Linked DNA regions of Danio rerio. The protein of the gene in region 1 binds, or shares a complex with, the protein of each later gene. Links are inferred from orthologs where the notes say so. Each region holds a gene or a part of one and is shown in the gene's direction. Other genes may lie near its edges.

What was found.
Region 2: taf4a (region 1) and taf10 share a complex: the UniProt entries of both Homo sapiens proteins name them as parts of the TFIID basal transcription factor complex. The link is inferred for Danio rerio from reciprocal best matches to the Homo sapiens genes TAF4 and TAF10.

What each region holds. Positions count from the first base shown.
Region 1 is NC_133186.1:23,082,057-23,098,650, reverse strand, and holds the start of taf4a (transcription initiation factor TFIID subunit 4), read left to right. Parts: upstream 1-6,065; 5' UTR 6,066-6,585; coding exon 6,586-7,282; intron 7,283-13,978; coding exon 13,979-14,118; intron 14,119-15,539; coding exon 15,540-15,653; intron 15,654-16,594. UniProt on the Homo sapiens protein: The TFIID basal transcription factor complex plays a major role in the initiation of RNA polymerase II (Pol II)-dependent transcription.
Region 2 is NC_133183.1:27,701,889-27,717,249, reverse strand, and holds taf10 (transcription initiation factor TFIID subunit 10), read left to right. Parts: upstream 1-2,347; 5' UTR 2,348-2,566; coding exon 2,567-2,684; intron 2,685-5,439; coding exon 5,440-5,597; intron 5,598-5,686; coding exon 5,687-5,751; intron 5,752-7,074; coding exon 7,075-7,189; intron 7,190-7,286; coding exon 7,287-7,376; 3' UTR 7,377-7,558; downstream 7,559-15,361. Other genes in the region: cacna1sb (calcium channel, voltage-dependent, L type, alpha 1S subunit, b), read right to left, coding at 11,408-11,626, 11,712-11,798, 11,883-11,968, 13,693-13,751, 13,839-14,062, 14,144-14,266, 14,397-14,524, 14,970-15,071 and 1 more. UniProt on the Homo sapiens protein: The TFIID basal transcription factor complex plays a major role in the initiation of RNA polymerase II (Pol II)-dependent transcription.

The sequences.
Region 1 (16,594 bases):
AGGTGTTTATGTTTACATAAATCTTTCTAGGAGCAATTATTGGATGACTGCATTATTCTTGTAATGGTTTTAAAGTCCCCAAGAAATCAAAACCAGCCATATTAATTTGTTAGCTTACATTGCTAGTTTTGTGGTGAACTGATCTGTGCATGTCATTAAGAAAAAATATTTTGTTGTCACTTCCTGTTTTTTTTCAGTTATATTGTCAGATTTAGTATATCTTAAAGATTGAGCATGGCTAACATGTTTAGCCACACTGCTCAAACTGTCGGTTTTGACAACAAACAGAAATTTGACAACAAACAGTCTATTAGGTTGTAATAACTCTCCCCAAACCTTTTTCCTGATCTTTCTGAATAAAATGCCTACTTTACTACATCCATTCACAGTAGAAAAACAAGCCACGCCCACTGTTTTGTCTTTAATATTTTGTTGTCACAAGCTTCCAGTTCATGGGGACTTTAAGCAGATTTTGAATTTACTTTTCGATCCCAGGGAATAAATTGCTTAAAAATACAGAAACTACGGTGGCATAGAGAGTTTAATGTGCAGCAGCTTAAGATAACACATGCATTAAAACAAACACAAGCAAAATTAAGAAAACATCTTTATCGGTTTGATAGCATGTGTGCTGCAAATTGTCACAATGCAAACACATATACTGTAGAAAAACGTGCTGCAAATTTTCACAACACAGACAAGGAAAAAAAAACAACTTGCTGCAAATCGTCACAACGCAAACACAATTAGAAAAACACACTGCAAATCTTCACAATACATGCAAATACATAGACCACAATGGAAACATTTTAGGAGGATGTGGAAAAAAAGTGATAAAGCTCAGTGAAGTTGTGAACTGAATGTAAGTTATTTTTTTATTTTTTTTTATTTTACACCCTAATTAATCAATTCCTTTGTTTTGTTGCATATTTATTAGCCTAAATATTCTGATGATTAACTGTGAATCATTATTAGATAATGAAATTAACTTAATATCCTCAACTAAATATGAGTTCAAGGTTAATAGGGCAATTTACAATGCTTTATTGTTAAAATAAGGACTAAATAAATTGCAGATAAAAGTAAAAAGCTAATTAAAAAATATTAGGGCTCTTTTAGTAGGCTAATGATTGAAAGGACGATATCATTTAAATACAATGCTAACTTCAGTCAACTTTTTTTAGATCACAATGTGCATGTGCTCTAAGGATTTTTCTACATGTTTTCTTTATATGTATGTGTTGTCAAAATTTGCAGCACAGTTTTCTTTTTGCGTTTGCATTGTGAGGCTTTGCAATGTGTTTTGTTATTTGTGATTGCATTTGCAGCGTGTTTTTCAATTCCAATTCTTATTTTGCTGGTGTTTTCTTAAGTTGCACCACGTTGAGCCCTCTTGAATAGGATCTGGCAGCAGATGCAAGATGAGCTGCATGCAATGTTTTTAATGTGCATACCAAACCCCGCGCCTAACACTACCTGTCTGAGATTGCATGTTTAAGATTGGGTGTCAGCTTACAATATAAGTCTGCAGTCAGATAGTATTGGCTCGGGCAACGCAAGAAACTGTCAACAAAATCAGTAAACTTTTCTAGATCATAAGTTGTTAGAGCATTTTTTTCATTGCGCATCATAAAAGTCTTGTTATTATGGTTTAACTGATCATGTGAAACATTCGCACAATGTCATAGTATTAATAGACAAACCACTGGACCAACCACATTGCACAACATCTCAAATGTTATTTTTGTCATAAAACCATTTAGCCAAAGTCCATCATCATAGTGGTTCAGGATTTTTACCCCGCAGAAATGACTTGAGCTCCTGCTCTCCCAAAGAAACTGTCAACAAAATCAGTAAACTTTTCAAGATAAAAAGTTGTTGGAGCAAAAATCTAGATCTCATAATGCAATTTAAAAGCATAAATAAACACAAAATACCCATGAACTAAGCTACATATGCTAGAACTCTTAATTATTATCATTTTACAGTAACTCCACTTTATTTGTAAGATATTCCCCTACATGACAACTTACTACCTATTTACTTACCCCTAAGTGGTTTCAAACCTTTACAGGACTCTTTCTCCTGTTAAACACAAACAAATTAAAAACGAGTGATGGAAAGATTTTTTGAAGAAAGCTGAAAAGATCTAATCACTGACTTCCATTGTAAGAAAAGCAAATATTATTAGAGTCAATGGTGAGTAAATGATGACACAATATTCAGTTTTTGGGTGAACCAGGGGAGTAGATATGGCATGGACGAAGGGTATGTGTCTCCACCAATATCCTGCAATTACTGAAATGTCCCCGGCAATAATTTAATCACCTTAAAAATAAAATAATGCTCTGTCAATCCTTAGTAATCTAAACATGCATAAAGGGTTAAATCACATTCTCTACTGGTGTCCTTCCTCATACAAACACAAAACAACAGTGTGATTGGCTGGGCCTATTTATGCTGTCAACGACATCTGGATATGAGAAGCACCAATACAAGGATTTTTTTCCAGGCCTCCTTCAAGATGTGGACATAAGTAGCTACTTTTCAGAGATTCAAGTTTTTTAAGGCAAGTTAGCTTGGAGTCCACCATAGAAATATTAACCAAGGCTGTGCAAGTAATTTAAATTTAGTTTTGATTTTGGCTTTCATAATTCTGAAAAATATTAATTAGGATAAAGCGGTTAATTTGCATCAGGTGCCTCTCCAATTTTCTCTATGTTCATGCCTCCATAATGCCAGATTGCAGTAAAATCATGTCAATTGACTTTTGCAGCATGGGACATGTTTCATTAATTGTTATTTGTAAGTATTTAAAGCCTTTATTCACGTTTTGAATAGCATGAAAGAAAATTTGTGCTGTTCTATGCTTGCACTATAGGGATGTATATCACCACCAATGTCAAGAGCTAATCTACAACTTTGGGTGTATTCACTAGATGTGAATATTAAAGTTTATCCAAAAATGAAATTCATCATTTACTCACCATCTACTTCTTCCAGAAAAAGATATTCTGTAGAATGTTGGAGAAAATTAGCTATTATAGTAGTGATAAAATGTAAAGGAATGGCTGTTTATTCAACATTCTTCAGTATATCCTTCTTTGTGTTCAACAGAATTCAGAAACTAACAAGAATTTAAAACTACTTAAATGTGAAAAAATGGTGAGGAAATCTTTTTTTTGTAACTATACCTTTAAGCAATGGGTGTCATGGAGGCGCAGTGTGTATCACGATCGCCTCAAAGCAAGAAAGTCGCTGGTTTGAGCCTCGGCTGGGTCAGTTGGCATCTCTGTGTGGAGTTTGCATTTTCTCCTCGTGTTCGCGTGGGTTTCCTCTAGGTGCTCTAGGTGCCTCCACAATCTAAAGACATGCGGTATTGAATTGAATAAGCTAAATTGGCCGTGTATGTGTGTGAATGAGAGTGTAAGGGTGTTACCCAGTGTTGGGTTGCGGCTGGATAGGCATCCGCTGCAAAAAACATTTTCTGGAGGTTCATTCCGCTGTGGCGAGCCATGATTAATAAGTGACTAAGCTGAAAAGAAATTTAATGAATGAATACCTTTCAGCAAGTAATGTAGGAAAAACGACTGTACCTCTGAAGCATTTACTTGAACAGGTCACTAGAATACTGTTTCATTATAAACTGTGAAATTATGTTTTACACCGTAGAGAAAGTAACAATAAAAAATTGATGCATATTTGATATTTAAATCTGGCACTCAATGAGCGTCACACACATCAGGAGAGCCGCACCTGTGATGCAAATACAATCATTTAAATCTCTTTTAGAACAAACAGCTTGTCATTGAAACTGTGAGCGAATGAGCAGAGAAAGTCAGGGCTGCGATTTAATACATACTGAATTTTTAGGTGAAATCAAATTAGCATTAAATTAAACTGACCTAAAACATTAAGTTGGATCATGTACAAGTTAGGAATAAGTTGAAACATGATTAACTTAAAATAAACACAAAATCCTTGATATTGATCGTTTAAAAGCAAAACGTTTTGTTCACATTCAATTTGAGGTTTTTTTTATCATTAAATGTTTTGCCATAAGAAAATTATATTAATTAATTATGGTTTAGGTATAATCATGCTTTTATCTTCTCTTCCAAAATTCCTTAATAAAAGACAGCTTCAGTGTCCTTGAGTGGCCCAGCCAGAGCCCAGACCTCTAAATCCTATTGAATATCTGGAGAGATCTGAAAGTGACTGTACATCGTTGTTTCCCATCCAACCTGATAGAGCTTGAGAGGTACTGCAAAGAGGAATGGGCAAAAATTCCCAAAGACAGGTGTGCCAAGCTTGTAGCATCCCATTTAAAATTACTTGACGCTGGAATCACTCCTAAAGGTGCATTAACAAAGTACTGAGCAAAGGCTGTGAATACTTGTGTACATGTGATTTTTCAGGTATTTTATTTTTAATAAATTTGCAACAATTTCAAAAAATCTTTTTTTACATTGTCATTATGGGGTATTGTGTGTACATTTTTCAGGAAACAAATTAATTTAATCTATTTTGAAATATGGCTGTGACATAAAATAAAATGGAAAAAGTGAAGCGATAGGAATACTTTCCGGATGCACTGTATACTGTAAATACAAGAAGAACCAACTGCTCCAGAGCATTATGTTTATTTTTTCCATTCAATCTAGCAGATTACGCGATGACATAAACATTATTTAATTCAAATCAGAAATGAAAGAAACGTTGACCACACATCATCAGCGACCTTTATGAACATTGATCTGATCTGCCTTTTTTTTTATAAAACTCATACTTGTTTACTGATTCACTGGTGATATTGATTAGTGCAAAATTAATACCAATAAAATGCTTGTGTATCTAAATAGTTTTTTAATTATTAAAAAATTAAACTAATTAAATTAGTAAATTAAAGTAGTTGTAAAGTACACTGGTATAGATGTTAAGTGTTAAAGTTCTCATCCTTAATTGAAATGATTAGAAATAGTGAAAACAACCAGAAAAACACGACTAATATTTAGTGATGCTTGTTTAACGATGTCGTCTCACAGCAAGAAGGTCACTGGTTCGAGCCTCAGCTGGGTCAGTTGGGATTTCTGTGTGGGATTTGCATGCTTTCCCCATGTTAACGTTGGTATCCTCCAGGTGCTCTGGTTTTCCCTCACAAGTCCAAAGACATGTGGTATAGGTGAATTGGGTTAGCTAAATTGTCAGTAGGGTATAAGTGTGAATGAGAGAGAGTATGAATGTTTCCCAGTGATGGGTTTACAGCTGGAGGGGCATCCGCTGCGTGAAACATGCTGGATAAGTAGGTTTATTCCGCTGTGGCAACCACAGATAAATAAAGTTTTTTATATAAGTTTCATTAATTGCTATTTTAACAAAATGTTATCAAATTATAAAAAAAAAACACCTATAAAAATAAGGGAGGACTTTTGAGAGCAAATGTGTCAGCTCACATTATGTTAGAAAAAAATTAGGTACTATTGGTTCAAGAAAGAGCTTTCTATTGGTTCTTTCTGTCACTTCGTTGACTATTTAATCAGCCATATTTTATTTATAACGTGCTTGCAAAATACAGACTTTTTATCCCGATGCAACGCTGTGCACATTGACAGAAAAAGTGTAGCATAAGTTAAAGTGAAGATTGAGCGTGTGACCAGAAACCCTGTGAACTATGGCTGCAGTAGCACGCGTGCCCTCTATGGCCAGTCACGCTGGCAGAGGTGTGGCGCCTTTTCACGCTTTCAACACAGACGCTTCAAAACACGGGGCCATCTTGGGGGAAGACAGCCCGCTGTGAAGTTCACACAACAGCCTCTACATGCTTTATAACCCGCACATAACAGCTATAAGTGCCTCTAGACACAACCGAGAGCAGCGCCCGTATAATTCAACGGTTGTTTTTCAACTTCACAAGGCCCTTTTCTCGATGACAGACCGACTCTGACCGCGCTCCGCCAGAATCAACTGACGTTTCTCATGTCCCGCCTCCACGCACGGAGACCACCAATGGCGGCTCCACAAAACTTCAGCGTAATGACGTTTCCGCTTTTGCGCGCATGCGCAATGTCATTTTATCCAAAGCTCCTCACTGTTCACATCGAAGATGGCGGCAGGCTTTGACCTGCTATATAAGGATTTCTGTATTAAAAGAGTGGGAAAGAAACTTTTTACCGACACTTCAGGTTGTATTAGATTAGACGTTTCCACATCTTGCCATAATAAGTTTGAGGTAAGCGCCCAGGCAGCCGGAAAATCACCCCGCTGACTCCGGGAAAAGAGGCAATTCAACTAGCTAATGTTGACATTTTGCGAGCTCTTGTACATATGAACATAATGAAAGCAGTCGCTCTTCAAGTGTGTTAGATGATTATTTCTCCCAAGAGCATTGTTACTAATGGACTTGAGGTGACACGGGCGCTTGTCAAATCCTTATTGACATTGTGACACGAGACTCCCATTCACTCACGCTTGTTTCCTTCGAAAAGCAACTGGAGGGAAAAGCCGATGAAAACCCAAACTTCCTGAACTGATGTGCCAGAGGCACAGATGGAAGACAGCTAAGGCGATCCGGTCTTTCTTAATGCTATGGTAACTACTTTGATCGGGACGTCCACAGTGCAAACTTTGAACGGAGGCAATGCAATGGATCCGCACACTGAAAGCGGCACTCCAGTGTCCAGTGGTCCATCATCATCATCGTCAGACGACGCTTCAACTTCTGTCCCGGTTGTTAATAACGGGCCCGGGGTGGCGAAAGGACTCGGAAACGTCACGGTCGCCCCAAGCCCAAACACAGTGATACAGTCTTCTTTCGGGACTCCTCCAGCCGCAGCATCCAGTGCAGGACCCTTAGTGACAGTTGTCAGGCCATCTATGCAAACTGCTGGAGCAGGTTTAACTATTAACGGAAGTAATAATAATACCACCATTTCTGTAGCCAATGTAGCGACCCCGGGAATAACTACTACTTCAACTACTACTACTAGTTCTACTACTACAACGACCCCTCTTTTGTTGAACCAGACTTCTGCACCTGTCACCGCGAGCAAGTCCGAGTCTCCTAAAACTATCATCCAGCCCGCAGGCAGCATGACTGTCGGCCCTGCAGTGGCCAAGGGGGCTGTTTTGCAGGGGGTTGCGAGAACCGCAGCTCCGGCAACTGTTGCAGCAGCATCAGCATCATCTAGCCCGACCATCAGGGCCAGCGCGCCACAGGTGTTAGCGCCCCGACTCCCTCAGAGCAGCCCGGGCCAGAACATCCAGAATATCCAGCTACCTCCAGGTACCCCACGCTCACATTAGCACTTTCCCTGAATGTTGTCTGGAATGACATGATATGTGTATAGAGAAACTTACGAGGAGTGTTTTGGTTTCGTGTGAAGTTTGCTCTCTCCTGAAATACTTGCAAACTGAAAAAAATAAGTGCATAAAACAAAAGTATATCTTCATTAGAGTGTAATTAAAAGTTAGTTTATCTAAAACACACTCCGAACATGCCTAACTCGCTTTCTTCAATAGGAGCTGTCAGACATATTGACAGCTTCAGTCTCCATACATTCTTTGTGACTTTTCTTTCTATTAAGAGAGAAGTAAGTCCTGCAGACTTCCAACAACATGATTATTAGTAATATTTGGGTGAACTGTGTCTTTATAAGTCGATTGAAAGCAAATTGATGTTAAAGTCCTCTCCATGCTTTTTAGTCAAAAACTAACTATATTTTAATTTAAATTATTAATATTTACTCTGTGGCATATTTTTTAATTTGCTCTAATATATATCAATAATTCATAAAATAAGCTACTCTTCATTCATGTACATTTGTATCAATTCATGTACAAAGTCATCTGAGGTCACATCTCAGATTATACAAATTTGAGGGTCAGAGTTCACCAAAGTTCTTTCTTAAATGTGATTCCAGTCTTCAGCATTCATATACAATAATAGATGTAAATCTAACAAGAAGTGTAGTCTGACCATCCATTTGGGTAATTTTAGTCAGCACTGTTCAGTCTTCAGCCTTGTTCTTTTACTTTCTTACAAGTGCCTTGTCTGCACTCACGCTTATGTGTAGGTAATTACTTCACAACCACAAAAAAAGTATATACAGCTCTGGTATTTCACATATATAAGCAATTCCATGCAAATGTCAACCTTGCCATGAAAGAAATAAAGTTTTCACTTAAATAGAGAAACCGTTTTTACACTTTTTTTCAGTGTAAGCAAGTATTTAATAGTAATACTCAAACATGTCTCTGTCAGTGTTTCAAACTATTTTATTTGCTTTACTAAAGTCACACAATTGGCAATTTCACATTTGTCACATCCATAATTGAAAAGTGTCACATACATAACAAAGCCTTTTACTCATAAATGCAAAAATGTCAAATAAAATTAATCATTTTTGTTCTGTAGTGGGCCAACTCTTATTCTTTTGATTAGCATTATTTCTTTTGGGTTGTGCAGTTTAATTCACAGAATTTTTACAAAGTGTGCTGTGTACTGTAAACCTTTTTGGTCACATCCATAATGCATGTTTATTTTCCCATTTAAAATATAGAATATGTTTACAGATTGATATTTTTCTTATCCCATAACTAGGCATGGGCCGGTATAAGTATGACGATATAAAAAAAAAAAAACCTGGATAAAAATTTCACAGTTTCATGTTTTTTTTAAATGTCTTTGTGAAAAACAACAACTTTTTTCCCCATTAAGCACAATATATTTTATTTGACTTCTGCTGGTTTAATAGTTTTTTTTTTTTAAAAAACACAGATTTCTTTACAACTTGAAAAGGCATTTTTGGAGGGTCATTTTCTGCTAAAGATACTATTGCTCTAAGAAATTATAAAAAAATGTGTAAAAACACGTAAAAAAACTTATACATACCTTAGGAACAGTATAGCAGAAACATTTTCCAGTATTAAACCCTTGACTTTTTTAAACCGCGGTAAACTTTGAAACCGGTTATCGTCCCATGCCTACCCATAACTCTGTGGTTAGTTGTTTTGGAAAATATAAACAGTTGCAATATAATGTTACCGAATATGTTTTGATTGTTTTTATAATTATTTTTATACCTATAATTAAAAAAAAATGTTTTATAGGTTTTGGGTTTTTATTGCAAACATCGCATTCAACGTATCATATGTATGTTACACATTTAAGGTCTGAAAATATGGAATATTTTTCTTTCACCTATTGTAATTTTCTGCAAAAAATGTTTTAAATGATATCTTTAATTTTGAGGTTATGAGTATTTCATAAAATCAATTTAAAACCCAAATAAACATTTTAATAAAAACCTGCATCTATTAATGGTAAATCCAGAGACTTGAAAATTATTTTGAAAAGGTCTCTTAATTTTTTTCTACCTTGTTAATATAAATCATACACTCTGCATCAGGCCGATACGATATCTATTTTTTGCCACTCATTATAAAATGCCAAATGACAATATAATAGCATTGCAATGCAAGTTCACTCTTTTGAAAAACACATTATATTTCTTTGGATGGTGAAGGAAACCGGAGACATCGGGGAGAAACACGGGGAGAATATACAAACTCCTCATAGAAACACCGACCGGCCTGGTGGGACCAGGGCCGGCAGTGTTCTTGCTGTGGGGCTCACAGTGCTAACCACTGGGCCTCCGTGCTGCCTGATCAGTGGTAAAGGAGGAGAATAGGGGAGGAAGGGGGGTTTCTTCCAAGTGTAGATAAAATTAACTGAAAACTGTGGTTATTTATAGTAGCTTAGGACTCATATGATTGGAAGATAGTGATTAGCAAATACGAGACCGGCCGTGATAAATCATAAGCAAGTGATCCTCTCGAAATTAGTTTATGAACAAACTTCATTTAATTGAATTATTGAGAAATTAAATAATTAGGCATTTGAATCAGAATGTGAAACTGCATATCTTACAAAATAAAAATAAATGTTATCAAAAAAGTGCAAGGTAAAAAGTAACAGAGGCTGCGATATCTGCTACCAGATTGTTTCAGTTACTGTATCAGACACCCACATTAACATATACTAAAGTAATTTATAGTAAATACTATAGTGTTTTTTTAACCATATACTGACACTGACACCTCCACTAGAGATAGAGATGTTGCAGATGTTGGTTTTTAAGTAAGGGCGATAGGGTTGTAACAATATACCGGTATGACGGTTTACCACGATTTGAATGTGCACGATTATAATACCATGAACAATTGCATATCAACGGTTTTAACCCTTAAAGACCGAGACAGCCGCCCGCGGCTAAAAATAAGTATTGCTCTTAAATGTTTAATAACTTTTGATCCGCTGATCCGATTCATACAATTCAAAGATTGGCATAAAGAAGAGAATCTCAGCTTTCCAGTGCTTTGACACATTATTTATTATTTTCTTATTTTTATTTGTTCATTGTAAGTGGTGTTGCTTATAGTAACTAAAAATATATTATTTGGAAAAAGTCAAATTTGCTTCACTGTTCTATTATTTTGTAACATTTGTAACATACCGTATACCGCGAAACCGTCAAACCGTGGTATTGTTTTAGACGATTATCATACCGTAAAAAATTCATACCGTTACAACCCTAGGCGATACATATACTGCATCACCAAAAATGATTGAGGTCATGTCCATGTGTTTTGCGATGAGTCGCTATACTGATTATTGTGACAGGCCTACTCTGCATACTGCATTGGACTTGTCATTGTCATGTGAGCTACCAGCATCACTCCTGTTGCTTAACTGTCATGCACAGATCCTCACCCATAGCCTCATGGGATAGTGTCTATTGTGTGCTCCTTTCACAATCTTACCAGATCTAGTAGGTATTGTAATCTGAGCAGATTTCGCAAGTTCTTTCAGACACATACTGTACATGAGACACATTTCCACATTTTGTGTAACCCTGGGGTTTCTCTAAAGACAGCTTTTAAATCTCATGTTTACACACTTGTTTAAGAAATGGGATTTTATTAGCATTTAAAAAAAAAAAGTCAAATTATGAATAAAAATGTGACTAGTGAAAAAAAAGTTTCATTCTTACATGTATAGTCTGCAAAGTCCATTCAGGAAGAACTTGCTGGTAAAATGAGGATGCACAATGCTAGAACAGTTACGTAAACAGGTCTCATTCTGTATTTATCAAAACAATGATACTGACAAAGCAAATTTGCCCACAAGGGTGTTCTCTCTATATGGGAGGATAACCGTTTTCAAGGTATACCATGGTTTGGAAAAGTCAAGGTTTTATAACGCCAATATTTTCTGTTTAATCGTTTCTATGGTATATGTAAGATTTTAACTTTTTTTTTTTTTTTTATTAGAGCAAAAGTGTCACCAGTAGAAAATATATCCTAAGATGCATTTTAAACTGTAAATAAATCTGTGTTCTTGAAATCTAACGAAGATAGCAGAAGCCAATGATTCATTTGAATTATTTAGCCTGACATGCTTACAATTACAAATTATTTTAAATGCTTCTCAAAATAAATTATACTGTGTATATTTTTTTTGTATATTACCCAGATATTTAAAAAGAATTCATGCTAGAGCAGTAATCACAGTACAGTGAAACCATGATATTTTTATCCAAGATTATCATATTGTAGGGCTGGGTGAAAATCAAAATCTCGATGAATTGAACATTTTAACTCGATTCACATTAATGAATAATTCTTAAATTTATTTACTGTATTTTTTCCCTTTCCATGGCACCCACACTCGTCAATGTTACCAAGCCGACCAATCACAGAGCTTGTGCTATGTGTCGTTGCGACGTATGTTTTTTTGAGAGGTCAGCATTGGCGTCAGTTATGGCGAGGGGTATACGAACGTGTAAAGGCTGCACTCGACGCAGAGTGTAAACAGACTGGGGTCACATGACTCCGTATGCAGTAGGGAAAGTAATTGAAACAATTGATCTGGAAAAATTTGATCTCGTTACTTTTTGATTAATTGCCCAGCCCTATCATACTGTTAGAATCATATACCTCTATATCAATATATATATCTCTGTGTCATCCCTCGCCTTATGAATACCCCATGTTGAATGGTAAAGGGGTAGTTCACCCAAAAAGCACAATTATGTCATTATTTGCTCACCCGTGTTTTATAACTCTTTAAATTTCTTTTTTTCTGTGAACACAAAAGAAGATATTTTGAAGAAAGCTGAAAACCTGCAGACACTGACTTCCACTTCCATAGTATTCGTTTTTGTTTACTATTGAAGTCAATTGCCACAGGTTTTCAGCCTTCTTTAAAATATCAATATAGAAGAAAGAAACTCATTAAGGTTTGGAGCCAGTTGAGGGTAATTAGATAGTGTGTCAATTTGGGTGAACTTTTCTTTTAAACCTGCACTGTAAAAAATTCAGTTTGCCTTAAATTTTTAAGCTGAATCAAATTTGAGTTGACCTTTTGAGTTCATTGAACTTGTATCATGTTGAACCGACTTAAACAGCTTGTGTAACTTATAAAATTAAGTTAGAACATGATTCACTTAAGTTACATTGAACTAAAACATATGCTGTTATGACTATTTGATCTTATAATTTTTTACAGTGTGGGTGATGAATGAGCAGTGTGAAACCAGAAAGCCCAGAATCTTTTTTAACCAGGGTTTAGATTTAAGCCTGGACGATTTGGCCTAAAATCTAAATTTCTATTAATTGAACATTTAACCTTGATTTCGATTATTGAATGATTGTTTAATTTATTTATTGAGCAAGTTTTTTACAGTATTACAAGTGAGAGATTTTTGAATGAAGGGAGCATTACTTGAAAACACATACTGTGCCATCTATGATTATTTATTGAATATCAACATTGAACAACTGAAATTAATACACACTCTGCCTAAAACCAACAGTCACTTTTTTCTTATAAAAAAGTAAAAAAAAGAAAACTTGCACTTTTGAAAAAAACAATTATTTTTAGTGTTAATTTTTTTTTATATTAAAAGTAGAAAATAAGCAGTATAGTTTCTAAATAAAATGACTTGTATATCCTGTAAATAATAATCTAAGCATTTCTTGAATCTTCTGTAAACTAATATTTTAATGTAAATATAATTTTGTTTTTGTAATGGAAAATATGTCGTCTCTGGCGCAGCTTCCAATCATTGTCAAGGTGCAAACTTGCGATGTGTAGTTACATTTTTTAATTCTATTTTTTATTGTTTTCTTTTGTTTCATGACAAAATAATACAAACTAATATTACAAATGATCACTGGTGGCCAATAAATGTAAAGCCAGAATGAATCCAGTGGTTAATATGGACAATGTGTAGTTACATTTTGAAGAGGTACATGGGTATGCGCATCAAGGCTGTGCCAGACGATACCTGTGCATTCGACACAGAAGTATAAATTAGCCTTAACAGAGCAGGGTCATGTGACGCCACACATCGTAGGGAACGTAACTGAAAAAATTACCTGGAAAAATTAGATCGATTATAGGTTCTAAATGTCGATTTCGATTTCTTTTCAATTAATTAATTAACCCAACCCTATTTACCTGTAGATTGACCCAGAGTTGATTAATTCAAGTTTGAAAACGTTGCAGTCACACACTGGTATTATATTCAGGAAATGCACATCTAGTTTATCTTTTTCTGAAGATTTCTCTCATGACTGTGTGCTCTGGTCATTCTGACAAGCTCGTTGTCTGGCTGGACAGAGTACTTGACAGATTTTTCTACAAGAGGCCATCTGGATTCTCCGACCAAGAGTTTCTGTTGAGAACACATCCGTTGGTTCACACAGTAACGGGAGACGGAGTGTTGTGCGGTTCTCAGTGTGTCATGCAAATATAGGCCACCAACTGTGCGCTTTATTCTTCCTGCCTCTAAGCAGGGCACGCTTGCCAGACTCAATTCCAGTCAGATCAATAGGAAAAAAGCTCACTAATGAATAACAATTTGCATAGGGAGTGATGTCAACCTTTCTGTGTGTGTCGTGTTTGTGTGTCCAGGTATGGTGTTGGTGCGCAGTGACAGTGGTCAGCTGCTGATGATTCCACAGCAGATGTTGGCACAATTGCAGGCCCAGACTCAGGCCGCCCGCCCTGCTGCCCCCGCCAGCACCACCCCTGCGCAGATCACTCCTGCTCAGGTGATGCCATCCGATCTGACCACCCTCAACTGAATTGACATCAGCAGCACTGCATATTTGAGAATGACTGTAGCTGTTGCTGCGGAATAGTAAATATATTTGTGGTTCTATAAACTACCAGAAATAAAACAGTGTGTAAACTGTGTCTATAAAATGTTATAGAGATATATATAAACACAACTGTACTGTAAAATAAACAAAAAAAAAAGTTTTTTTTACTGCAAAAATATAGTATCTATTGTCAGCAATTAAAAATGCTCTGCCGTTTCAGAATGAAGTTTATTTTACGTGTCAAGATGATTTACTGGAGCTTTTAGCTTTAAAACCTGTGCTGTGTAAAAGTCAGGCTAAGCCCAATCACTACTTTGATTTTGTTTTGATATACAGTAGTCAACATTTGAAGTGGATCACTTAGAGTTGTCCTAAAACTATTTAACAACCCCCATTCTTGTCTTAGAACAATTTAGAATAATGATTTAAATAAATATTTTTTTGATCCACTTCTAATGTTGGCACCTGTAAGGTGTGCAGCCCTGATGTAAATATGCCCTAATGTAAAATATGTTAATAATTTGATCTATAATCAGGGTATCTGCCAGATCCTAAAATGTTTTAAATTTCAAAAACAAAATTTTAGGCCTTAAATTAGTTCTTAAATTCCCTAAAATACTGTATTGTATGTCGTAAATAATTTTAAACAGGTCTTAAATTTTCTCTGTCCAAGTAAAGCTAACAAATTGGGCTGGCATCCAGCTAATCACCAGCAATCCATCTTAATAATATCAGGGAAACAATTACTAAAGAAACTAAAAACGATTACATTATTGAGTTATACTTAATTAATTTTGACTAAAAGCCAACAAATTTATATGTTTTTGATTATTTATGTAATTATTTATGTATGTATTGTTTATGTGTGTTGCCTCCACAATAAATATACTTTTAATAATGTTAAATGTGTCATTTAAAAAAAAAGAAATATCGTATTGACATTAGTGTATACAATTAGAGTTTTCTTGTTTTGATACATTAATGAAATAATTACCTTACATAATTACAATAATAATTACAACCAGGCCATTAGAAGTAATCATTAGTGTTTAGCCCTGTATAAGTCTAAAATTTCATTCATTGTGGTCTTAAAAAGGCTTATATTTGACTTGATGAAATCTGCATCAACCCTTTATAATAACACATGTCATGAGCTGTTTTAGACTAGATTATGTAATTCTGAGAAATAAATCAGCATGTTTTGAAAGAAGTAATAATGATTATAATTTACATATTTATTAAATGTTTTATTAATGTTCAGCCCTAATTTTACAGTTAGCCATAAACTAGTTCTGTTCTTTTTTTTATAATTCATTTTTTCATGTCAGTATCAGCAAGTTGACGTCTGTGTGATTTCTGTACGCCTGCAGGCACCTGGAACTCCTCTTATGGCCCGACAGGTGACCCCTACCACCATAATAAAGCAGGGCTCTCATACAGCCAGCAGCACAGCCACTACCACACTCCAGAGACCACCTGTACAGGTAAGTTTTGTAGGCATGAGATGTTAATCGTTTTCAACAGTATCTGCAGCAGAAAAAGATATCCAAAGACGGCGTTTTAAATTGTAAAGAAATCTGTGTTTTTGAAACAAATGAAGACAGCAGAAGAGAAACATTCATTTGAAATATTTAGCCTGACATGTTTGCTGTTCCAAAATATTTGAAATGTTTCTCAAAATAAAATATATGTTTAAAGTAGAAAAAGTTGCTGATTTTTACCACAGACATTTAAAAAGATTATATTTTAAAGCAGCAATCACAATACCGTGAAACCGTGTTATTTTTATATTTTATATATTTTATTTTAAAGTTATCATATTGTCAGAAACTTATCCCGGCCCATGCCTGAAGTGTTGTCAAACCTATTGATATGTATTTATACTGGAATGATTTAAACAATACATTATCACTTTTCTGAATTAGCAATTTATTGAAGTGAAAGACGTGAGAACTCCATACTCATGCACTGTCTCTCTCTTTGCATTATTTTTTAAGCATAATCTAATTATGTCAAATAACATTAAAAATTCAGTACCTGTTTATACGATTGGTTACAAATAAAGTGAAAAGGAACAGCTGCTTTTCAGGAGACAGCAACCTGCTTTTGTTTATAACCATTAATCAAAAACAAAATACAAAATCACTGTTCGGGGTTGCTTACATGAAAAAGTTTTAAGCTAAAAACTGGAATCATTTAATCTGGTTGTACATATTTACAATTAAGTTTTACTCCTTTAAATGTTTGACATAGTTGTTTTTAAGACTGCAAATGCATAAGATGAAAATAGGTTTGAAATTGGAAGTTTTTAAAAAAACGCTGCCATTGTCTTACCCAAAAATGAAACTTTTGAAAATGATGCTGTCACATGTGCATAGTGCGGCTTTAGGGTAATGTAGATTACCCCTAACAAACATGTTCAAAA
Region 2 (15,361 bases), on another chromosome or scaffold:
TTAAACTCAAAGTATTTTGAATTTAAAGGGTAAATATAGTAGTGTGTTTGTTAATATTTGGTCAACCAAGAGTCGGATTTCGACACCAATCAATTATTGCATTTCTTTAGAAGCCATAAATAGTTCTGTCATTTCTTTTGAGATATCTTTTTTTAGCTGATCTGTTCTTATTGTGCCAAATGATTTCACACTTCTGTTCTGTGTCAGGCTTATTTTAGTAGGACATTCCACTGATATTAGTTGAGTTTAGACTAAACATCATTGATCTAAAATGTTTTGCATTTGTTTTTGAATGTAAAATGTTTTTAAAATGTAATAAAATTGTTGAAATTTAAGTTGTTCATTAATTAAAACCCTTTTTGCAGTTTTGGTTTTAGAATATTAATATTTGCACAAATGCATAACTACAGCTGAGCTTTGGCAGTATTGACTTTAATGGATTTCTGTGAAAATCTGCACCTTGTAAAGCAGATTACACAAACAGCACAATGTTGTTTTTGGTATTTGATCATTTTTCTGTGAAATGTAATGCTAGGAGGATGAGGAATGAGTGTTGTAGTCTTAACGATTTCATCTGATGGCATGTTTTTTTTATCTTTTTGTTCGTCATTCCAGCGACTTGACAATGGTTGAGAAGGCATTGAACCATCCTGACCATATCTGTACCTTACTGTCAGCGTCTGTGTCAGTCGAATCTGGTGGTTATGGTATCATACTCTCGTAGGCTTATACATATTGATATGTGGCTTCTATATGCACATTTATTTTTGATTTTGTTACTAAAGTGTATGATTCTTGTGACAATAAAACAAAATGCTTTTAATTTGGAAACATTTTATGTTGGTCATTGATGTGACTACTGTTATGTGTGCCACCCATATATCTAAATCGAAGATGTAGATTTAGAAACCTTATTGTGATTTATAAAAATAAATGATCAAATGCAGGCAAATAATAAAGCAATAAAAGTTGTATTAAAAATTGTAAATATATTAATAACAAAATAATCTTAAGTTTCAAATTATTAAAAATATTTTTGTAGTTTTATGTTCAACTCGTGACACTGTGTTAGGGTGTGTTTTGGCTTGAAAGAGTTTAAAAATACGAGAACAAACCTTTGTGTTTTCACACACCCAAACATTTTTTTTTTCTTTTGTTAAATTATCTATTAATTAATATTAGTGTCCAAAAAAAGCATTTAGGAAATTAATAACATTTTCCCCTCCAAGATCTAACACACTTAAGTTTGTTCTAGAAACCTTTCAGAATAATATTTATTATTTTGGACTGGATTTAAGCAGGCATTCTAAGGAATTTATTTAAATTTCATTAATTCCAAAAGAGCTCTGGTTTCCCACACAGTCCAAACACATGCAGTTAAGGTGAATTGAATAAACTTAATTGGTCGTAGTGTATGTGTGTGATTGAGGGTATATTGATGTTTCCCACTACTGGAATGCAGCTGGAAGGGCATGCGCTGTGTAAAACATAGGCTGGATAAGTTGGCGGTTCATTTTGCTGTGGCGACCCCTGATGAATAAAGGGACTAAGCTGAAAGAAAATGAATGAATAATGCCATAAGATTTAATAGCCATTTTTAGAAATAATAAACTCTAAATGACAGGCTATAAGATGATATATTCAAATTTTAATTAAAGTATTATAATAATACTTACAATATTATTATAATATATATAATATATTTAATACTAATACTCAGAGTGCAAATTACTCTGTCAAATTTAGCCTTTTTTTTTAAATGACATCTAAAGACATTTAAATATTCTCTTATTATTTTAGAGGTTACTGTAACTCAAACTATACAAACACCTATTTTACAAGAGAACTGTCTCGAACACTACAGTATCCACGCTGTTGAATGAGTCTTGCAAAGACTGATTGGCGCGATTATGCCTTTAACCATAGGGGTGGTCAAATTTATATTTGTATAATCTATTTTATTTTAATTATTAATATTATTTAAGATAACATGAGTAACATGACAGCATGTAAGATTGATACGCTAATAACAAGATTATTTTGTGGTTTAAGTGTATTAGTTGCAGTCACAGAGACCTTAAAGTGTAATTTGAACACTATAACTATATTTAAGTTTTCTGACATTCCTTTGTGTGAAATAACCCACTTCACCGCCATCACTAGATGGAGCTGTTGCAAAATGTCCTCGGTCTAGGTCTACACACGCAATATGTTTCTTCTTTCTCCTTTTGGATGAACTGCAAATTATATATTGAATGCCAAATACGTATGACAAAGTTTGCGCTTTAAATTCAATACTACAAATAATAAATGTGAGCTAAAAGGGATTTATCCGGAACCATTGACGATTTCCAACACCAAGCGGGATTTCATAGTGGTTGCACACGGAAGTGTTGATCACCTGACGCAGTTGCAGCGTAAATATTTTTATCATCAGAGCGAGCGACCGATACTTCGCCGTTTAAACGGCATAAATGAGCGCTCGACTCAACCCAACATTAGTTTAAACTGTGTGTGTTTTTCTAGTATAGCTTAGCGTTTGCAATACATAAACTAAGCCGGGAAAATGAACGTGGATCTCACGCAGACCGGAGCAGCAGCGGCGGCGTCCAGCAGCAGCAACTGCGTCCCGAACAGCAGCACCACAAACGCCAGCAGCATCCCTGCGCTCGCCAGCAGCAATGGTGTGTGTCTCTGTGTGTCTTTTCCACAACACTCATTTTTTACTGGGCGATGTGACTTGAAAATAATAACAGTTTATCGCTTTTTTTATATTAGTTGTTATCGCCAATTATCACAAAAAAGTCACAACTTTATTTATTTCACGTTTTAATGCAGATTTTTGCTCCTGAATAATAGTTGTACGAAGCAAACAGATAACTAATCGTTTAAACTTCTCGTATATTGTAAAACTTGTCAAACGCATGTCAAAGAGATGAACATTTCACAGATCTGAGGTAACGTTACAGCAAAAACCAACGTTTTTGGGACACCCCTCCATTGAATTCAGGTGTATTATAATCAAGCACCTAGGCATGCAGACAAACATTTGACAGAATGGGTTGATCACAGAAATCCAAGTGATTTTAAACGCAATGTGCAATGTGGCCTACATGACATTTCCTCACTACAGCTAAATATTACATGGTCAACTTCAAGTCTTCTTTCTTGGGGTGCTCTTGCTTTTCTTTTTTACTGCAATTAGTACAACAGTGAATTTTCAAGGGCAATAGCATAAAACGGGTATAGTAGTATAGACAACAACTGAAAAACAAGCCAATCACATTTTCAAATCAAGGTGCAAATAGTGACAATTTATTTTAAAAAATCGATTTAAGAAAGTAAAATTTGTTTCTTTTAAGGTATAAAGGTAGTGAGACAACTGTGGGGGGTAGAAGAGGCACATCATGCACATATATCCTGGCAGTGCTTAAGAATGAACAGTTTTTGAGAAACTACTCTCGGCCATTAATTATATTTTTGATCTTCATATTTCTAGATCATTCAAAGTACTTTATCTAGGGGACATAACTATTAAACTTGAAAAGGAGGCTGGATATCTATTTAAAATATTATTGGCAAAAAGTAAGAAAAGCTATAACCTGGAAATGGTATGAAGAAGATCCGCTCAAAATAATAACAGAAATGGAAAAAATGATTACAAATAGAAAAAGAGATGGCTGGCTTTCTCTACAACGGCAATACAATTATCCATAATTTAACGTTTACGTAATTCTAGAGGTTATGCATCATTGCGAGAATGTTTGTCAACCTTTTATTATATTTGTTTTGTACTTTTTTATTCATTTATTTTCTTGATGAGGTTAATTTACTGTTTTTTATATATGTATGCATATAGATATACTTGTGTGGAATGGATGTATTTGTGTATATACACGTATATACTTGTTATGTATGTGTGTTTATATGTTTTATAGTTTGTTTTGTTCCCACTGGTTATATGTTTCTAAAAAAATACATAAAAACTAAGTATTAAAAAAAGATAGTAAGATGTGAGTGATAGTTTCTATTTTAAAATGAGTAAAATTAGTTTACTTACACTTCCTATTTACACTTTACACTAAAATACTTTTCCATTATTAAACAGTAAATTCACAATATACCAAATTTTAATGTCAACATAAACTCCTGGGGCAGACTCTGTGCTTAAAGAAAATGAAGAGCGACCAATTCACAAAATTTGTGGTTTTAATGCATTTATTTACACAATTCATAAAGCCACTTTAAGCTGCATCATATTAAAAAAAACTATTAGTTGTTATATTGTAATCCTGTCACATATTACTGTTTTATTTGAAAATTATATCATGTAAAATATAGTTATCATGTGTTATTACCACGGCCAGACAGAATCTGCAGACATTTTTTGCTGTTTCTGCGCAGAAGTAAAAAATGTGTGAATTTATGCAAAAAGATTTTGGAAGCAACTTAACTAAATACTTAATATATGGAATTTTAACTTATTTAATTTTTTAATTAAATAATTAGATGCACTTATTTGGTAAACAAAGCAAGTCTACTAAAATCTACTAAAAGACGAAATATTACTTTACAAACTGTATTGTAAATAAATCATATGAACATTTTCATATGGTCAATAATATTACTGAAATAAATGTAATAATAATAATAATAATAATATATATATATATATATATATATATATAATAAAATATATAAATTTGGCAAAAAAAAACCCTGTGGAAATCTGTGGATTTCTGCGCACACAGATTCCATGTGGGCCTAGTTACTACCCAGCCCTGATCAGAGAGCTTAGCATTTACCTACAAACATTTAATTATAAATTCAATTATTTACACTTAGTTGTCCAACTTTTGTCCAAAGCAACTGTCAAATGAGAAAGGGTATTGTGATTTATCACAAAGAGCCAATGCCCACTTTAATGCCTGTATTAACAGGAAGTTGTTGCAAACTTTTATTTCAGTGTGATGACCTATTTCCAACTGAATTGAAATATTGAGCAGTGGGCGGGTTTTATTTTTGTGCTCCTGTCATCTTTCACTTGTGGCAAACTTAACGGTTGAAGAGGTGTGGCTAAGCATCTTTTGCTCCAATCTGTCAAACTGACGTCATCAGAGAAGAACTGCCATAACAGAGCAGAAGCAGATGGTCAGATTTAGATTAAACTGTTCCTCTTAAGTGGATTAACTTGCACATATGAATCGTTCACTTTGAGACTAACAATCTGCGCTAGCAAAATAATCTATGGAAATTTTATTAAATGCAGACTTAAGTAGGGAGGGATTAAGGAAAGAATGAGAAGAAGAATTTTTTGTTAGGTTGTAGTTTAGTGCTCATGAAAGAGAAGTTTTAGCTGCCTTTTGATTGTTGCCTGTAATGTCAATTGTTGTTTTATTGCCTTAAATTGTCTGTTATACTTACTTTCCGCCCTCAAAGTGTCTACTTCGGCTTCCATGGCAACCCCATCCTCCGACTCCACTGTATCAAACGGCGTGTATGTGCCCACAGAGATCGCCAACGGAGACGTGAAGCCTGTGATCTCAACTACACCACTGGCAGATTTCCTCATGCAGCTGGAGGATTACACTCCTACAGTGAGCTCCCTTTTGTGATTTGTAGTTTATTCTTTGGTTATTAATGATATTTTATGAGTTGTACTGCTAACAAACTGTCTGTGCTTCAGATTCCAGACGCAGTTACAGGATACTATCTCAACAGAGCTGGATTTGAAGCATCAGATCCAAGGATGTGAGTTCGGAATAAGAAAGCTTTCTCTCAGAAAGCTGTTGGGTCAAATATGATAAAAGCACTTTAAATGTATGAAAGATAAACAAAAACTCTTAATACTTTAGTTTATTTATCGGTTTCCACGATTTCACTACTGGCTTATTAGCTGCCTGTTATTAAGAGATTGGCAGTTTATTAGTACTTCTAAAGTATGATCTTATTCTACATCCCTAATCCTACCCAATACCTAAACCCAACTTCTACCTTACTAACTATTAATAAGCAACAAGTGAGTAGTTTGAGCTAAAAGTGTTAGATAATGGGTTGTTAACAGCGAGAATTGTACCTTAAAATAAAGTGTGTGTAAAATAAAATGTGTAAAGTGAACATGTAATAATTTTATAATTTCAGATTTTCTCAGAATTTTTGCTTAAATTGTTTAAAGATGCGATTTAGGTGTCATGTTCATCAGCTGGAAAATTAAAACTATCCAAAAGTTGTTCCAACGTTTTTCTGGGTTGTTGGACGGGTCTTTGATCGGGGCTCTCTGGGGGCAGGACCAGATGGCTGCCGCCTTTATCGGACTATATCCACATCCCCTGTTCCCATCACCTGTTGCGATGTTATGTCTATGTGTTTTTGTGCTCGTGCTGGGGCTTTCTTTCCCCTGATCTTACACTGCCCTACTTCAACGGCAGTCGGAGAGGGTTTTTTTTTTTCACCTCCCTTTTCCCTAATATATTTTATTTCCTCTTTCTAAAAGCTACCTTCCATTAACCTGTCTTCTCCTGAATTATGTGATGTTTGTTTATGGTCGGGGTGGTCCAACTTCACTGCATGTAAAAGTGTATGTGGCAGGCTGTTTTCATCATCATCATTATACAATTTGTAAACCTTTAAATGGTTATTATGCTCCGGTTTTCCCCATAAGTCCAAAAACATGTGCTGTAGGTGAATTCAGTAAGGTAAATTGTCTGGAGTGTATGTGTGTGTATGGACGTTTCCCAGTGATGGGTTGTAGCTGGAAGGGCATCCACTGTGTAAATCATGTGCTGGATAAGTTAGCAGTTCATTCCGCTGTGGCGACCCCAGATTAATAAAGAGACTTAGCCGAAAAGAAAATGAATAAATGGTTATTATTCTTAGTATGAACAGGAAATAAATATCACATTTGTCTAATGTAAAGTATTGCATTTTTGTTAGTCGGTAACAAGCTAATATTGAAAATGCTATCTTAATATAAAAGGTTGGTGTTAATTTTTTAATCATAAAAAAACATGCTTTTATATCTTCATAAACCCCTCATGAATCTGCCTTTACATCATGTCCTTGTTTCTTTGCCAGAATTCGTCTCATATCTCTGGCATCTCAGAAGTTCATCTCTGATATTGCAAACGATGCACTACAACACTGCAAAATGAAGGGCACAGCCTCTGGAAGCTCCCGAAACAAGGCCAAGGTTTGTGCGCACAATGCATTTTAGAATGACTATATGTACAATATAAAAAAAAACTTGATCTTTAAATCTCACATGTTATAATCATCTCACTTTCCAGGACAAGAAGTACACTCTGACGATGGAAGATCTGACACCGGCTTTGGCAGAGTACGGCATAAATGTTAAAAAGCCTCATTATTTCATCTGAGAGCTTCATTCTAATGGACTGCTGGAAATGTGCTAATTGTCAAGATGAGAAACATCAGCCCACTTGCTTTTAGGGATTTAGCAGCTTTTTTGTATTTTTGTTAAGCCTGACTGAGTTATATTATGCCACATGACTTAGTTGATGCCAGTAAAAAATCTTGTATAAATAAATTCATTACAATACAATTCCTGTTTTGGTCATCAATCACTGTAAATCAATCAATCAAATACTGTAAAAAGAAGTCTTAAATTAACCACTGTAAGGCTTGTGATGTAAGTTCATACACTACATGTATGATCTTCTCATCTTCGCTTTATGGGTTTAGTTTCATGCCATAAGGAGCTGGAGCTGTAACGTGCTGCAGTATTAATAGTACCTGAAGGACCTGCTCAAGTTTCTCGCAACAGTCTAATACAGCTGAGACCAATCATCATGTCTTCAGAGAAAACATTATATAAATATAAGAATATTATTAGAATAGAATCGATCTTGACTTTGCTTCTTTCAGTTGCTCTATGTGCTCTCAGGCGAATTCAATGTAGGTCACAAAAAGGGTGATGGGGATTCATAAGAAGTATGCTAGATTTTTTTTAAGTTGCTAAAACAAATAATTTTATCCCGGTTTATTGTTCGGTGATTATAAGTAAGTCATATATGGGTCAAGATATCGAAGCTGTTCACTTGGGTCTGTCAATCACTGTTCAGTTTGACTAATAGCGAAAGTTTGGGGCGTGGCTATAGCAGCAGGTGGGCCTGAGGATGATTAGCTAGTCGGAGTCTGAGGCGTTATCTGGGAAAAGAGATTAAAAGTGCGATATAAAATGTACTAAGTTACTTGCCAAACTACGCAAAGATATACAAAAATACATGAATAGTGGTGGTGCTTTACAAGACAGAAGAATTTGAACTGTGTTTCATTTGAGACTTTTTCACAGGTAAGCTAAACTCTTTGTTACAAAGCATTACATGTTGCCACTTTACCGCCAAACCCCATTTCAATTGTTAAGCCGTGTCAGTATACGATAGTAATAAGACAAAATGTCAGCAGCATTTGCAAGGATTGTATATAGTTTATTTTTTGTAATCCCACTAGGAGGCACTAGTTGAGCAGAAACGGCATAATATACTTCAGTGGATCTCAAAGTTTTTTCATCGATCAAGTACCACCTCAGAAAAAAATTGTCTCAACAAGTACCTCCAAAATGACCAGTATTGAAATACAGTAGCATAACTACTGACTAAAAACGTCAACATTTTAATTAAAATGTGCTTTTAAAAGGTAAAAATTAAAGGTTACTGTTGTTAAAAAGTAAAAAAAAAAAAAAAAAAAAACTCCTGTAAAGTATTAACATAGTAGCCTATTTATCAACACCTGGAAACATAGGCTATATGTCATCATATTCATATTTAAATCATTTTTTAACATATTTAAATCATTTTTGTACAAATGACATATTTGATTCCTCCGCGTACCACTAGAAGGAAGCCCAAGTACCACTAGTGGTACACGTACCATAGTTTGAGAACCACTGATATACTTCATTTTGTTCAGTGATCAAAAGCAGTAGCCTAAAGTATATTTGAGAAAAAGTGGAATTATATGTTAAAGTTGCCCTCAAATGATTAGCAAATTTTACAAGATATGGTAAAATATGTGATATAATCTGAATGGTTAAAGAGCATTTATCTATTTACAAAAGGTTAAAAATGTTAGCTTTTCTCCTTTCTTCAATTTATTAAAAATTAAACCTCATTTCATATTCAATGACAAGGCACAGGCTGAAGTGGATATGTATGTATATGCGCAGTGAAAATCCAATAGCAAAATAATTGCACTTTGCAATGAATAAAATACACGGATGTGCTGAACAAAGTCAAATGTTGTTTAAGAGAAAATACAGGGAAACATATTAAGAGTAAACAGCTTTAAGACTTCAGCCAAAGGCATCAACACATTCTTTTGTCTTTAAATTTCAACTTTACGTATAAACATTGCAGCACTTCAAAAGTGAGGTCATCGTGAGCAAAATAATTTGAACTGAGATGATAAACTTCTAAAGCAACATTGTGTTTTCAGTAATGATTATTTCACTATTATTTTCATACAGTTAAAAGGAAGAAACACATATCAATGTACACCTGATGTCCCTGGAACACTCCTCTAGCCTATTAAAAACATTTTTAAGAAAAAAGATGTCAGTGCCAGTAGGTATTGCACAAAGAAAAATGGTTCTTCTGACAGGGACAGTTTAAATCCGGCCTGCGTTACGTACTGATCCCACTCTCTTTCTTTTTACTCCATTGTCCTATATCCATCTCACCTGCACTATACAACATACTGTATAAGCCACTAAAGTATATTAATAAAAAATAGTTTGCCTATGAGGTGGATTTTGTGCTCTTTGGAGTGTGAAGTTAATCTATATATTCAGGTTATATGTGTATAATCTGCTTGTAGACTTGCATACCATTAAAACAATTGGACATGGGAAATGGCTTGAGGAAACAACTAGGGGTCATAAAAGAAGGGATGAAAAGAGAGTGGTAAAAGAGCCTGAGGTGTCTCAGGAAACAGATGTCAGAGGTGGAATTTGGGGTTAGGGGAGGGATCTTGTGTAATGTATGGAGAACAAAGGAAAATAATTGTTGTCAAAGTGTATTTAAACAGGCCAGGAGATTAGGGAGGCAGAATTTTTCAGACAGAGATGCTACTGGGGGTCTCCTGAAAGTTCTCCTTTGTTGTCGACAATAAAGTATATTCTTCTGATATTCATAACCTCCAGACTGAGTTTGATTTAGTAAGAGAAAAACCAAGAAAACCACTACACCTATTCTAGGGGAAAAAAATAGCAGTTCTCTCCATAAGCTAGCCAATTTTAGCCGACTTATTATTTTCAGTCCCACTTTAAGCAACGAGAAAGATTCTTTTGAAAAATATAATCTTAAGTGAAATAAAAATGTTATTATGCTTTCAATTAGACATTGTAAGATCCTATACACCTTCTTGTCTCATCTTTAAGTAATTTTGTAAATAAAATAAATGTTCAAACAAATAGAGGCTTTAAGTGCAGAGTACAAACACAAAATAACTATTTAAATAATAAAAAACACAGGCCAGTTTACTTGAAGATGTACTTAACAAACCAAAAAAAGTGTGTTTTTTGAAGCTTTTCTCATTGAAACAACAACATTTTCAAAACTGCCTAAAAATTCTGTATTGTGCATACCAGGCCAATAGTTGGCAATGTAGCACAATGCTATCATCAAAAGTCCTCTAGTCCGCCATTGTTGTTTAACTCGCTCAAAGATAAACTGCTTATGTATGATGTGAGCGTTTTCACAAAATTGCATTTTTTTAGTTTACACTGACATGATAATAGTATTGTTTTCACAAACCTCCACTCACTAACCGATTGTACTTTCAAGTATGCATTTTCAGGACCCCAAAAAGCTGCTGTCATGTAAATGAATGGCCAAAACGAGTTTATAGCTGAAAACTCCTAAAAATGCTGTTGTGTACTATATATTTCTTTTGAATTCACTTTATTTACCACTTTATTTATTCCCTCCCACCCTCTCTCCGATTCAATAACAAAATATTTGTAACTGCGGTGGTAAACCATTCTGCGCAGTTTAAACAAAGTAAAGAAATAAAAAGACTTGCCTTTTAGACATGTCCACAGATTACAACGCTTCAGATGATTGTCTGTATTGTCACACAGTCAATTATAGATGTTCACAGAACAGAAGTGTGAACACTTTATTGAGGACGTTTGGTATAATCGCTTACCAAAAAACAAACCTGAATCAGAGTAGCCATCAGAAATCAAAATCACAAGACCTCATTGAAACAGCATTATGGTACGTGTCCTTTGGAAACATTATTTCTCTAAACCAAAATACCATCTTTAAAAACAGCACAGCTTAATCACTACCTGCTCGTAAACTGTTACGTCTGTGATTTTAAACAATGGCTGAAGCCTCAGGGCGATGGTGTCTCATGGTTTTGTTAAAAGTCTCTCAGTATGTGTTTACACTGCACTTGTGGCTTCCTTGGTTTTGCTGGGAGGAACAGGGATAGGACGTCGCTTGCGTTTGGTTACCTTGCCGCTCTGCCCATTGACAATACCCTGAGCCACGCTCTCTATATCCTGCAAGCCAATATTAACGGCTTCTGCCAGCTCCTTTCTGGTCACAGATACAAACTGTGGGTCTTCAGCCAACGACTCCAGACCACCATCTCTCAGTGCCTGAGAATTCATGGCAAAATACAGATTAATCAAAGTTCAGAGGAAAGTCTGGAATGAATATGAAGAGGACATGCATATTGTTTACCTGCTGAATGAGTTTGTCGGTGGCTGGTGAGGCTTCTGCTGCTGATCTCTGGTTCTTTGATTCTTCACATGAGGGATTATAAGGGAACTGTGAGAGTCACATGCAAACAAATGAGTCAGAAAAGAAAATCAGTTGCTAAGCTTATTATAATGATGTGTTTTGTGTTCAAACCTGTGTAGAATTAGTCTTCACGTTGAAATCTGACAGCCGCCTGTCATTAACATTTGAGGCTCCGCCCACATACAAGCTGGAGTCTCCTATTGGTTGCACAAGAAAATAATGTCATTTAAACAATACTGTAGATCAGGGGTTCCCAAACTTTTTAGCTTGCGACCCCCAAATTAACATTTCCAGTGACTCGCGACCCCCACTATGATCAGAGGTGGGTTTTAAACATAAAAACATTGCACACAACGGTGCTCACACACCAATAGTAACTATACAAACAAGCATATTGACATTATTAATTTGTTTAATTTAATAATAACCTCACTTAATGAAAATAGTGAGAACAATGTTTACAGCGGCAGCACAGTGCCGCAGTGGGTAGCACAATTGCTTCACAGCAAGAAGGTCTCTGGTTCAAACCCTGGCTGGATCAGTTGGTGTTTCAGTGTGGAGTTTGCATGTTCTCCCTGTGTTCGCGTGGGTTTCCTCTGAGTGCTCCGGTTTCCCCCACAAGTCCAAAGACATGTGGTATAGGTGAATTGGGTTAGCTAAATTGTCTGTACTGTGTGTGAATGAGGGTGTATTGATGTTTTCTAGTAGGGAGTTGCAGCTGGAAGGGTATCCGCTGTGTAAAACATTTGCTCTATAAGTTGGTGGTTCATTCCGCTGTGGCGACCCTAGATTATTAAATGGACTTAACTGAAAATGTTTACAGCAAACAACCTGGAGATTATCCTCTATGTTCAGTTGTGACCTTTGTTTTTAATGTATGTGAGTGCCATAAAGGTGTCAATATTTAACTTTAAAATCAATCTGCTGCAATTTTCCCTATTGCCTTGTTAATCTAGCTTAATAACCCCAGGGGTCACAATCCAATGGAAAAATAATTGAAAGGCTGATGGCTTTTTTATTTGTATGTGTTTTTTTATGTAACTATTAAATATTATTTTTATCTCCTGTAGGTTGTAAATAAAATATTCTAATAGTCATTCTAATTGTTTAATAACATCTATATTATTTTTGGAAATCACCAAGCCACCCACCCCCCCTCCCACCCCAAATTTTTTTTGTAACATTACAAATATTTTACATATTAATTCATTCATTTATTCATTCATTTTCTTGTCGGCTTGGTCCCTTTATTAATCCGGGGTGGCCACAGCGGAATGAACTTATCCAGCAAGTTTTTATGCAGCAGATGCCTTTCCAGCCGCAACCCATCTCTGGGAAACACACACACACACCGGACTATTTAGCCTACCCAAATCACCTGTACCACATGTCTTTGGACTGTGGGGGAAACCGGAGCATCCGGAGGAAACCCACACGAACATGAACAGGGAGAACATGCAAACTCCACACAGAAACGCCAACTGAGCCAAGGATCGAATCAGCGACCTTCTTGCTGTGAGGCGAACGTGCTACCCACTGCGTCGCCACAAGTTAATTCAATACATTTTAAATTATTAAATTACATTTATTAATAGATTAACCTGGTTATTTACAATTGGAAAATCTTAAGCAACATAAATATCTCTAAATAATGTCATTTTTGATTAATTTAGCACACTCTTGGAGAATAATATGTTTGTTCTAAAAATATTATATTGTGGTATTTGTTTCACTTTCTTAATAACATTTAATACAACATAAAACAGTATAGTTAACTGTGTTACCAAACCATTAAGGTATAGAATAAAAAAATAAATAAACTGTATGGGTTCATAAAAGTACATTTTCTTAATTCAAAATTATTTTGTTAGTCCCTTAGTTTTTGACCTTTTTTCTTCTATCGCCCACTGTTTTTACTTACTTATGTCTTCATATGAATAGTTTCTGCTTGCTGACAGTGACTCGCTCTCAAATGTAAACCTGGATGACAAAAAAACAGCCTCATATGAGCATCATGACCCTTACAGATACACAAATAAGTACATTTTATTATAATTATGTGCTCACTCTTCAATGAAGTTAGCATTGTTATTGGTGTTGCTTGTTGTTGGCATGTTATCAGGGAAAAACTCTGTGTTTGGGAGGAAGACAGAGTCTGGAGGAGACCCTGCATCCTCCGGCCGATTCTCCGCAAACTGCAGGGGCCTCTGGCTGGTGACCTGTGTGGACAGAGGGCTGCTGGGCTCAGAGGAAAAGGGGTCCGCGTTGAGTCCAAAGAGACCACCTGTCCGCTGCATGAATGGAGAAACAGAGGCTGTAAATACAGATGTCTTTATCTACTTTCATGCTAAAGATGATTGGTCTCAGAGTACCCTGTAGATGCCCTCCTCTCCGCTCTCCATGGCTCGCTCCATCTCATCCTCTGCTATCAGGTCACCTGATATTGCCCTGTGCAGCTCTGGTGCCGCTTCCTCCTCGATGCTGCGCAAACCGGCCTACATAACAAGGTGAGAATAGAATTAAGAATATGTCTTGTTTTATTATTTGTAACCTAGCAAACTTTTTTAGTGAGGTATTTTAATCCTAAATTGATCTTTTATGGTAGACGTTTTTCATAAAGTGCACCTTAATCTCATCAGCGTTCTTCTTGGTGGGCCTGTAACCATATAACTCCTCCTGTCGCTGCATAAACTTGCGGAAATGTTCCTGAATCAGGAAGGTAGCGTAGAATTTTCCAACCGTGACTTCATCCTCTGTAGCCAATAGAATATTTACATCACAGTCAGAAATGTGCAAAATTTATATATATATTTTTTTTACTGTTAAAAAAAGTATATATTTTAAATTGATGTTTTGATATGAAACCAGTTCCACCATCCAACTTGACTAGACATGACTAGAATAATTGGTTATTTTAGAATGCTTGAGGTGATTCTGTAGAGAAGTGCAAGTTCATTAAATATAATATATATTTAGAGTATAGATAAATACAATACAAAGATACAAATCAAATAGTGATTTAAGTCTATTAATAGGAGCAGTCCAACAGTATTCAGGTATAGACATTAAATAATCCAATGTGAAATAACACTACATAGTCTTCACTGTATAAAATAAATGAAATTAATCTCAGATCAAACTACAAACTATCGTTTCTACAAATACAACAGCATTTTATTCTCATCATAGCTGTCTCACCTCCAATTGGTGGAATGACCTGGTCCAACAACTTCATACTGGTCCGTTTCCAGATCGACTTGATGATGGCTCTCAGCTCCTCATTGGCCTGCTCAAAGTTTCCTAACAGAAAGAAATTGTCCATTATTTTATATGCTCCAAAACAAACATCTAAATTTGATTTCCATTACACACCTTCAGTCTTGATTTTCAAAGCTGTTCTGACCAGAGCAAAAAGTGTGGCATTGAAGGTCACTGTGCCATCACTGTTTAGTGGCATGTTCATGGAAATCAGTCGCTGAGATGGAAGTTCACAAATACTGAATTAAAATCAACTCCATAACAACATATAGATTTAAAACGACATTTAATAAACAGGGAAAGACCCCGTAAAAAACATAATTTTCCATAAA